Macaca fascicularis: one gene and its partner. Each later gene encodes a partner of the first gene's protein in a complex. Links are inferred from orthologs where the notes say so. Each region holds a gene or a part of one and is shown on either strand. Other genes may lie near its edges.

Evidence for each region.
Region 2: the proteins of KIDINS220 (region 1) and XPR1 are in contact, whole or in part, in a cryo-EM structure (PDB 9JXQ), measured with the Homo sapiens proteins. The link is inferred for Macaca fascicularis from reciprocal best matches to the Homo sapiens genes KIDINS220 and XPR1. Residues at the interface, in NP_065789.1 of Homo sapiens: Glu36, Cys37, Gln39, Asp70, Trp72, Met102, Trp105, Trp110, Tyr113, Lys114, Val138, Ile142, Trp143, Gly146, Arg147, Ser166, Asp167, Lys168, Tyr169, Gly170, Trp176, Arg179, Lys180, Gln198, Glu199, Gly200, Ala201, Ser203, Lys234, Arg267; in NP_004727.2 of Homo sapiens: Leu95, Lys189, Lys190, Gln193, Glu197, Ala200, Asn204, Glu205, Ala636, Asp637, Asp638, Leu641, Leu642, Gln644, Met645, Met646, Asp647, Gln648, Asp649, Asp650, Val652, Arg653, Asn654, Arg655.

What each region holds. Positions count from the first base shown.
Region 1 is NC_088387.1:113,305,544-113,310,830, reverse strand, and holds part of KIDINS220 (kinase D-interacting substrate of 220 kDa), read right to left. Parts: intron 2,969-5,287; coding exon 2,804-2,968; intron 1,826-2,803; coding exon 1,646-1,825; intron 914-1,645; coding exon 748-913; intron 1-747. UniProt on the Homo sapiens protein: Promotes a prolonged MAP-kinase signaling by neurotrophins through activation of a Rap1-dependent mechanism. Provides a docking site for the CRKL-C3G complex, resulting in Rap1-dependent sustained ERK activation.
Region 2 is NC_088375.1:38,122,046-38,128,067, reverse strand, and holds the start of XPR1 (solute carrier family 53 member 1), read right to left. Parts: upstream 4,014-6,022; 5' UTR 3,816-4,013; coding exon 3,747-3,815; intron 1-3,746. UniProt on the Homo sapiens protein: Inorganic ion transporter that mediates phosphate ion export across plasma membrane.

The sequences.
Region 1 (5,287 bases):
AGAGGGGAGCTGGGTTTCCCCAGGTTAAATGCACACATAAGGAGGGGCCAGGTCTCCAACCAGGAGCTCTCTGGGAACCAAGGCCATTGGCTGGACCCTTCCTCCATCCAGTGCTCTCTTCAAAGTGTGTTCCAAAGGACAGTAACAGGTGACATAACAGGGAGAAAAGGTTTATGCTCAAATAAAATTTGGTAAATAAAGGTTAAACAGCTTTCTTTATGGAAAGGTGCCTCTGATCCTTTAACGTACAAGAGGGACACATAATCTGAAGTGTTTCCCACAGTATTTGACCAGGGCATGTTTTTATTTTTGTATGTAAAAGGTTCCAGGTACCAATGTTTTCTGGAACATACATTGAGAAATTATACTCTATAAACTTTTTTTTTGAGACAGAGTTTCGTTCTTGTCACCCAGGCTGGAGTGCAATGGCATGATCCTGGCTCACTGCAACCTCTGCCTCCCTGGTTCAAGCGATTCTCCTGCTTCATCCTTCCAAGTAGCTGGGATTACAGGAATGCACCATGATGCCCCCTCTAGTTTTGTATTTTTAGTAGAGATGGGGTTTCACCATGTTGGGCAGGCTGGTCTCGAACTCCTGACCTCAGGTGATCTGCCCACCTCGGCCTCCCAAAGTGCTGGGATTGCAAGGGTGAGTCACCGCGCCCGGCCCCTATAAATTTTTTGAAGTGAAAAATATTTTTTTCTGAATCTCACTGAAGATTTCTTCTGTCAAATGGAACAACTCACCTCACAGGTAAAGCTTTAGTAGTCTGCTCTGGCAACTCAGGTGGATTCACAAACATCAATTTAAGGAGGAGTTCCAAATATCCAATATGTCTTGCCAATCTAGTGCTGAGGACCCAGGCCCAATTCCAACTCTCTCCTTCTCTTCGTCCACCAAAGTAAATGACAACTGAAATTCACAGTTTAAAAAAGTTATCCAAAGCAGTCATCAGTCAAGCAGATCTTTTCTCCAAAGATCAAATATCAAGCAATGACAGCTAAGCTTACATAGCTTTCTATGGTCCCATACTATTTCCTAACTACTCCTCAAAGAATTCCATTAACCTCCCCTAAGATACAGTAGATACAAAAAATGAAAAGTAAACTGACTAAAATATGCCTTAAACAGAAACATAACTGCAGTTCAGATTCTAATGCAAATGACTTTGGATTTATCACTATTTGCAACTGGTAAAGTTGGTTATCAGTTCCTCTTACAGTAAATCTATTTCTTTTCTTGCAACTGAAGACACCCCCAAGAATAGGGATTATATTTTTTTACTTTGCTTTTAGATAAAATTAAAAGTACAGCCATGGTCAAAATGCTCAAGAGCACACCGTGATGGCTCAGAAGCCCTCTTTTCAGAAAAAAGATTTAAATATAAATCATTAATTAAAGTAAGTATAATAATCTAGGGTCTTACTTCAAGATTAACAAGTAGGAATTAGTTTATAAGCTACTTCCGCCAAGTTGTGAGTAATGTTTCTTTAGGAAAATTTATGAAGTAGCAAAAAGGTCAATTTTCTCACCCTATTAGTGAAAATCACATACAGGTTTTCAAAGACAGATAATGTTTTTTTCTTTATCTATGAATCTTAACATTTTCTCCATTTTTGAAAAAGATAAAAAGCAAAAACTTACTAAAGAATATATATAAGAGAGCCAAGAAGCTCAATGACACTGCTATTCCAAGATTCGGATGGACCGTGAAGGCAAACAATAAACCAAGCCCTCCACAAAGTAGCAGGGTAAGAAACACTATGAGCCACGAGAACTGAAAGAGAGGCTCAATCTGTTGTCCGGCGAAGGTTTTCATTTCATCTGAAAGATAATTTAGTATGAAACCTTATTCCTGTTTTAAGAAACACAACTTTTAACACGATTTGCAGTTTTCACATTTTCAATGTAAACATTTATTGGGCACTTTACTAGGTCCCTAGATAGAATACTGCTACTTAACCATTTTAACCAGTGTTCTCTTGCCAAGATGAACATCTCACCCCCAGGACCACAGCTAGGCCTGGATCACCACCCTCTCCTGCTTCACGTGGAGGATGTACGAAATCCCTTCTCATATACTCCCACCTGTCATTTTCTTGAGATTTTTTTGTGGTTTGCATTAACACAAACATTACGCATATGCATATTGTTTCCACATGCAAAAATAATACTCTATATCTTCAAACTACATGTCACCACCATTCCACTGTGATCGTCCTCATCCCTTCTCCCTCCAATCACAATTGAGAATACTGTGCTTAAAGGTACATGTTGAGCCCAAAGGAGCCCCATACAAGTTATTCTTTGTACAAAACTCTGGGAAATTTTTACAGGTAATACTGAAACCTATCCTTGAAGAACGAGCAAGATTTTGCCAAGCAAAAGGCATACGTGTTAGGTGGGTGGTAGTGAGGCCAGCTAAGAAGCTGCTTATAGAGGGAGCAACCTGGGAAACACGTCTGGTCTGTTCTTGCAAGAGCAAACAGTCCTCTGTGACTGAAGCTGGGGCACATGCCAGAGGTGGTACTGGCAGGTGGGACCATGCAAACTGACAAGTCTGTGAAGGGCCCAAAAAAACCTGCCAGCAAGGGTTTTTATGTAGGTTTATCACACAACTGGATCTGCTTTAGAAAGAGAACTCAAATGACCATGTGAAGGACCAACCAGAGGGGAGTTCATCTCAGTAAACCGTGTAACACACATGCTCATACAGAAAGCGGTCTTCCTCTTTATTTCAGAAAAATCCCCAGAGAAAACCTTGTTTTACATATACAGACTTTGTATAAGCAAGCTCTTTACCTTCTAGTTTCTTGAGTAAGAAAGATTTCCCACTTCCCCACTGTGCATATAACCCCACACAAATAGGTGGCTGCATGGTCGGCTCACTGAGAATATCTGCTAGGGCACTGCTATATAAATCATACCCAAGCATGTCACCATCTGTTTCAGTAGGAGATAAGTGTCCTGTAATTAAAACACATCATATCTTACGTTAAACAGTGGAATTACTATTAGAAAGGAACAATATTTTCATTTATTGTTTACTTGATTAGAAAGGAAAAAATTATTTCAAATGTTTATAACCATGTAAAGACAGTTTCAGGGAGTCTCTGAGCCTACTCTGACTTGGAAGGCTACCTGATTTAAAATTTAAAAAAAAAAGTTTCAGAGATTCTTAAATTACTATCATATTTCATAGAACTTAAGATACCTATTAATTATGAGATACATCTTTTTATATATAACTAAGAAAGAACAAAATGCTGCCAAATTGTGACATCATGCTTTCTTGTCCATCACTTACAAGACACATACCAATTTCAGAGATGTTAAATTATGGGAACAGTGTGCATTTCAGAATCAGTAACATATGATGATTAACACAAATGAGTATGTAAAATAAATTTAATATGTGTAATACCTATACAAAGAAAGTTACAAAATGTTACTGAAGAGCATAATAGGTAAGAGAAAAAGAAACATTCTATGATTCCAAGCAGAAAGGTTCAGCAATTCTCCCAAATTATTCTGTCACTTCAAGGTAGTTCTAATTAAAAACCCATGAGAATTTTGTTTTAATTGAAAGGAAAGAAGAACATGTAAGAACAGGAAAAAAATAATAAAGACTACTGAAGGGTAGTTGTCACTGGAGAATAAAAATGTAAAACAATAATTTGAACATTCTGGAACTCATATAGGATATTAACATAAGTGGCATTTCAAATAAGGCAGGAAAGGATGAATTAGTAAGTGGTGTTGGGAAAGTTTAATCATTCATGAAAAAAATTAAATTAAAATGCTACATACCTCATAGCCTTAACAAAATTTTCTGAAACATTAAAAAATTAAGTAGAAAAAAGTAAAACCATAGAAGTAATAGAAGAAAATACAGGAGAAACTTTAAAAATCTTTGTTTAAAAAGGCTTTTCTTTCTCAATGTAATACTAAGGCCAGAACTGCAGGAAAAGACTAATGAATTAACTACAAAAATGTAAAACTTTTGAATGCGGAATAAAAATCCATGACCATCAACCAAGAGTATGCTGAGGAGAGGGGAATGCAGCACATAGGACACACCCAGGATCAATATCCATAACACAGAAAGACTCTTACATCAATTTTTTTTTAATATTGAAAACTAAAAAGTGGACAAAGGATACTAAAAGGAAACTGGCAAGAATACAAGTAGCCTATGAATATATTACATATTATCTAAGCCAAAAGGCTCAGAAGCAATAGCCTATAAATATATTACAAGATCTCAATTTCACTAATAATTTTAAAACACAAATTGAAATTAGATTTTTTTTTTCTTATTTATCTGATTTGCAAAGAGTAAGAGGCTGGAAATACCCAGTGCTAGCAAACTTGTGGGGAATTGTGGTATCTTACACTGCCAGAGGGAGAAGAAATTTTTACAACCATTTTGGAAAGCGTATCGAAACTACTGGCATCCATTGACTTAGGAATTCTACTTGTGGGAATTTACCCTAAGAAAATAATCCTAATTGTACCCCCTGAATCTCTAATACTATTTTCAAAAGAAAGAAAAAAAATCCTAGAAATAAGAGTCAACGAATATATGTACAAAGGTGTTCGCTGCAGCACTAATTGTTAGCAAAACTAAATATTCACCAACAGAGAACTCAATGTACTATGATGAAAAATTATGCAATAATTAAAATATGATACATTAAGCTTTTGTAACATAGTATAACTCAATTTTTATTTTTTAAAACTATATAGTATATAACATTTTTATAAGCATAAAGAAAAGCCTGGAGGGTCATTTAAACAATTACAAGTTGGGAGATAGGGGATAATGGGGAATTTTCACTTTCTGCTATACTTACATTTTCATTCCTGAAATGTAATTAGTGCACATTACTATTATAATAAGAAAAAATATTTTAAAATACAAAAATCTTAAAAAAATAGAATCATGGCCAGGCACAGTGGCTCATGTCTGTAATCCCAGCACTTTGGGAGGCCAAGGTGGGAGGATCGCTTGGCCCCAGACTAGGGAACATGGCAAGCCCTCGTCTCTACAAAAAAAAATAAAAAATTAGCTGGGTGTGGTGGCATGGGCCTGTAGTTCCAAGTACTCAGGAGGCTGAGGTGGGAGGATCGCTTGAGCCCAGGAATTTGAGGTTGCCGTGAGCTATGACTGCATCACTGTACTCCAGCCTGGGCAACAGAGGGAGACCCAGTGTAGTGGTACGATCTTGGCTTACAGCAATCTCCATCTCCCTGGCTCAAGAGATCCTCCCACCTCAGCCTCCC
Region 2 (6,022 bases), on another chromosome or scaffold:
AAGTTAAATATGAGAGTTTCACTGGGTTAACATCTTATTCACAGATCAAAATATCAAAAATTTTTGAAAGGATATTATTAATTTTAAAGGATGCTATTAATAGTCCTGTTAAGTTCTGTCCTCTTCATATATCAAACATAATTAAACCATTAAAAAACACAGAATTTTAGAGCTGGATGAGTCCTTAAATAATATGGGGTTGTGAGCTTAGAAACCAAGTCCAATTCTCTAACATTAAAGAAACTTAAGATGTGTCTTAGCTGAAAGAACAAATGATTTCATCAGGATCACACAGTGTGACCTGACTCTCAATGCTTACACATGCTCAAGAGACATACACATATTCCTAAACAAGTGGCTCAACCCCTCTGAACCTTAGTTTCCTTGCCTGGAAAAACAAGGTAGATAATCTTTAAATTCCCTTTAGCTCCAAAATCCTGTAATTTAGAAACCTTGTTATTTTATTACAAAACAAAGGGTACACTGAAAAGAATTATTCATGGATCCCGAGAAACCAAAGAAACACAAGGCCCTAGGGAAAGTCAGCAGCCTAAGGTACCAAATACATTTGCGTCTTCTGCTAATATTCTGCAAAATATTAACATGGTCATATTAGTCTATTTGGTTGAAACCAGGCTCAGTTAATTTTGATAAATCAATTGCAGAGCTTTAAAATATATAGTCACTAATTCTAAATTTTAAAAAAGCTCTTACAAAGATCTACCAGTGTTCTATTTTATATGCCAAGATTTATACTCAAACAGATTACTGGAAACAGGAATAGTCTCAGTTTGTTTGTGTTTATTCTTTGGAAAAATTACTTACAAATGGATCGAATAGATTTTCTTTATATGGCTTCTCCATGTTGGTCTATTATTTTATGCTTTATTATTCTGCCTATGAAGACTGAATCTATGAACACCACAACTTACTTTTCAATTAAAAAATATAATAATTTTCAGGATATTGATGGGTTATTACCATTAACAATTTTATCAATTCAAGGAATAAAAACCATTAAAAGTTAAATCAAAAACATGACCTAGAATGAACCTTGAAAAGCTCTGGCCCTATATACTTACTTTATGGAAGAACGAGCCCGGGAAAGGCAAAAAAGATTGTCCCCAGGTCTCATGGCTAACATATACAAACACTAGTATTTATTGTATTACCATATATACATATTATATATAATTAAATATGATTATAGATGTAAAACAAAATTTTCAGATTCTAATTCTCTGTTTATTTCAAGTAATATTTAATATAGCAAAATGACACAAAAACCAAAGAAGCTGAACAGTTCATATTGATTCACAACACTAGAAAGCACCCTAGGCTAGAAACCAAGGGTAAAACACCAAAATTTCACCATCAGTGCTTGAAAAACAAACCCCAGCATCTGTTCTACTGATAGTGTTTTAAGAGCATCATCCTCATATGAGAAACTACAGTTTAATTCACTGTGAAAAGGTCCTTTTTCCTCTAGCAAATTTTTATGGATGTCCTTTTTCCCCAAAGTTTTAAACTGCTAAAATTCCTGAACTCTAAAGACTCTCGTTTACATCTGTCTATTACTTTTAAAGGAATAGCACCAACTCTTCGGAAACAACATACAAAACGGAGATTCCAACCCTACAAAATATTCGTTGATTTCAACTTACAAAGAAAAGTGCGCCTTATTTAATTTTGCCTACCAAACGATGAGTTTATCTAGGACAGAAGCCATATAGTAGGAACTCTGCAGAATCAAATTTCAATTATCCGGAATAAATGAATTTTTCAAAACATAATTTATAACTGGCCTGAGAAAGATAATTCAGACACAACATAATCTCAGGAACTCTGCCCCTCTGTGACCAACCTACAGTAAACATTTAGGAACAGTATCCAAGTGACTATGTGAACGAGGAGCCCAAGAATCACTGCGGTTCCTCCAGCCACAAAAGTGACATTACAAATTAAGAGGGTTGCATTTTCAAACTAAATCGTATGCTTCTCCTTCCAGCTTCAGATATTGCAAATTAATACAATTCTATGAAATAGTTAAGTGTTGAAATACCTAAAACGAATCATGGCATACATCCAGCCACTATTACTTCAGCCCAAAGCATTCCATGCTATATAACAAATATAGATGTGCTTCAGCATGCTCCTGTCCTGTGCCTCTATGAAGAACTGGCAGTGGTGCTGAAAATCACTACTAGAAAGATGAAAGACCAATACCCTTCTTTCAATAAAAACCATCACTTGGACTCTAGCCAAGGTTTTAAAACTGAATGTTATTAGAAACAATAAATCAACTCTGCGGGCTGAAATGGTAGTCCCTTATTTCATTCATTCTTACAAAGCATGGGCACAAAACACTGTAAGAAATTAAGTGACAATAAAGCATTAATAATTCCAGGCCTTTCACTTCCAGCAATAATCAAATACTCTAGGTTGCAAGTGAATTTATTTCACAATATTCAAGATTCTGTTTAACCTACCTGCATCTCTTTCTCTGTCTTCTTCAATTACTACAACGGCTATATGAATAAATACACTCACTGCTATTGCCCAAACATCCCATCACTAAGCTTATATAAAAATCAAATGGAGAACTAAAATAGTTTAATTCATAAAATCTAGCTAGGTTATGTGTGTTCATATTGATTTTATATTCTTTGTTCCTGCACACAAAATAGATGTGAATTCCTGGAGGTTACAGATAAGTCGGTCTTTCTCTATTCAGCTACTGAGAATTGCCAGCTACTGGGAATAACCTACCGCAATGCTTAAAGCCTCTTAGGTATCTTGTCTTCTGAACATATAAATGGGTTCATTATCTTTATTTTTCCCTGTATTAAGGCAAGATTCCTTATTATCTAACCTTCCAGGAGTGTTAGCACAGAAATTGGGAGGGAATGGGGAGCACGATTCCCGTAATACACAGGTAAGGTATATTGTTTACAATATACTAATTATTTCCCCAGCTAGCAAAAACTTAGCAGAAAATATAAAAATGTAAATAATTCTCTTCACTCCTTCCTCTTCTCTCCATTCCAAAACAAGAGGCAAAAACAAAGATTTTACTACTCTGTAGACTTCATGCAATCAGTAAAGAGTCTTATTATCAAAGCAGAATAGTTGATTACAACGCGTTTACAAAAACTATAACCACTGCCTATGTGATACACACTTAAGTCAAGTTTCAACCCCGTTACAAAGCCTTTGTCAACAGTGGGCAAGAGGGAAAAAGCCGAAGGGCTCTGTGGAATGAAGGAAATCACTGGAGGGGTTTCTCTTGGAAGAGAAGGATTCCTTGGTGAGAGGTGGAAAGAAACAAGACCTAACCTTGGCGAGGGGGCGCTCGCCCAGGGTGAGGACGAGAGGTCAGGGCGAGTAGGGAGAAGGGGATTAGCGCGGAACCGGTGCGACCCGGGGCTGCCCTCGCACCGTGACTCCCCCACCTGCAGCTCACCCTCCCACCGTTCCCCGGCCCCGGCCCGGGGAGCGCCTTTCCTCCCGGCCCTCCGCCTGCATATCCGTTACCCCGGCGGCAGCGGGGCTGCGGGGGAGGGGAAGGACAGCGGATCCGGGAGGCGGCCGGCCGCGGCGGGGATGCCGCAGTGGCTCCCCGCGGCAGCGGGTCAAAGTCTGCCCGGGCACAGGGAGGCAGCCGAAGCGGAAGGCGGCGGTGGACGTCAGGACTGGTGAGATGGTGGCCCCTCCGAGCCCTCCCACACCCCAGCCGCTGCCGGTACCTCATACTGGATGTATTGCTTCCTCCACTCGGGAGTGATGTGCGCGGAGAGGTGCTCGGCGAACTTCATCCTGCCGTTTCCCCCTCACTCCCACTCGGGTCCAGCAGCTACAGGCGGCGGCGGCGGCGGCGGCGGCAACAGCGACTCCGACTCCTCCCCACATGGGCCCCGGCGCGGCGCGGCGCTGCGCTTCTCTCCTCCTCCGCCGCCGCCGAGGTCTCTTCAGAGCCGCCCGCCCGCCATCTTCCTCCTCCTCTCCATAGCCCCGCCCCTCCCCGCCCTCTAGACGTCATCGCCATGGTAACCGCCTACACCGCCCTGACGAAGGGGGTGCTGTAAGGGGTGGGGCTTAGATACGTTTCTTAAGACTCCGCCCCTTGTGGGCCGTACGTGCTGGAGGCACCTCCCCGGACCTCTTCAGTCTGGCTCCTGTTGGCCTACAGCTGCTCTGTACCTCCAGTCTGGGAAGCAGCAGTGTTGTTATTGCAATTAATATTAATACTGTAGCAACAATAATCCACACAAGACGTTTATATTTACAAAGAACTGTGCAAATATTTTTCCATTTTGATATTTATTCTTCATAAAACCCTTAAGAAATGGATCAGCACTAATCCAAACTAAGAAGCTGAAACAGATAGTTCAGAACTAAATGTATTTAAAGGAACAGTATTTTACATACTCTAGGTGCTCAATAAATGCTCACTGAATTTAATTAAAGACATCGATGACAAAAAGTGTTTGCTATTTCTGAATTTCAATGTAGTTGTCTAGTCCCGGGGCTATCAGAAAGGCCAATAAAAACACCAAGTGCGGGTACCAACTGCACTTGTAAAACTGAGCTTCCTGGGGTTGGGGGTGAGGGTTGGCAGGGAAACCAATGTTGAGAGGAAAGACAACCCCCTAGAAGTACAGCTCTAAGCCCACCCCAGTAAAACCAGAAACAGGCCCAGCATCCAGGCTGAGCTGTCCCTGGGGAACTTGGGCAGAGATCACTCACAGAGCTCTGTACTACATTAAATGTGGGAGTGACAGTCTTGGAAGTCCCGATTCAAGACAGAAATCCAGGTCCTGCCCTGGGTGGAAGAGACCTAATAATAATTTATTGAGCACTCACTGTTCCTGTACCAAGTACCATTCTAAACCTCTTACATGTACTTTGTCCCTTAGTTCTAACAGTTGTTTCTTTTTTTTAGTCTCGTTTTGTTGCCCAGGCTGGAGTGCAGTCACACCATCATGGCTCACTGCAGCCTTGACCTCACAAACTTAAGCAATCATCCCACCTCAGCCCCCTGAATAGCTGGGAATACAGGTGCATGCCACCATGCCCAACTAATTTTTTGTTTAGTTTTGGGAGAGATGAGGTTCTTGCTATGTTGCCCGGCTGGTCTTGAGCTCCTGAGCTAAAACAGTCCTCCCACCCAGGCCTCCTAAAGTGCTGGAATTACAGGCATGAGCCACCTTGCTCAGCCTAACCCTCACAATTTCGATGAGACTTCAAGATTTACTAAGGAACTACTATGCCTGGAGCAGTATTCTGAGATACCATTCTCTGCTGTCTTTTTTTTTTCTCCATGTACTTTCCCCCTTTCCCTTCCCCTTTATTCATGCCAATAGGGATTCTGCAATCACTTCCCAGGACAGGGATGACACAAGATGGAAAATAGGCATAGACTATGAGTCTTTCTGGCTTTTTCTGTATAAAAGCCTTAACCTCTGGTGAAAAGGTAATCAAGGTCAAAAAAATAAAGGAAGAAGAGTGAGGACTCCTCTCACCTCAGACCTCCCTCTGCTCACCATCAAGATTCCCCTCTGCTGGAGGTAAACCTTGCCAGGAGAAAGAAACAAGCAAAAAGGAATGTCTGTGCTACCAGGAAGAAGGCGAGACCACAGAAAGGAAATGGCTGTATGTTGCGCCTGGGAAAAGGGAACCAGGGACAGCTACAAAAGAGATTCCTGCCTTTAGCCAGTCATGGACTAGAATGGGAAATTCCTAGTAGCAACCCTGGTGGACCATGGCACACTGCTCCCAGCAGCACCATACCTCCATGCCTTAATTGTGCACAAAATTCTGGAACCATGGCCCAACCCAAGAAAGTAAGGAAACCCTCAAAACTCACTCTAAAATTCTTGATTTTTCTCATGCCTGATCCAGAGCCCTGCCACCTAGGACATGACAATCTTAATTCATCCACAGAAGAAGATTTAATAATAAATTTCCTGCCAGGCGCAGTGACTCACACCTGTAATCCCAGCACTTTGAGAGGCTGAGGCGG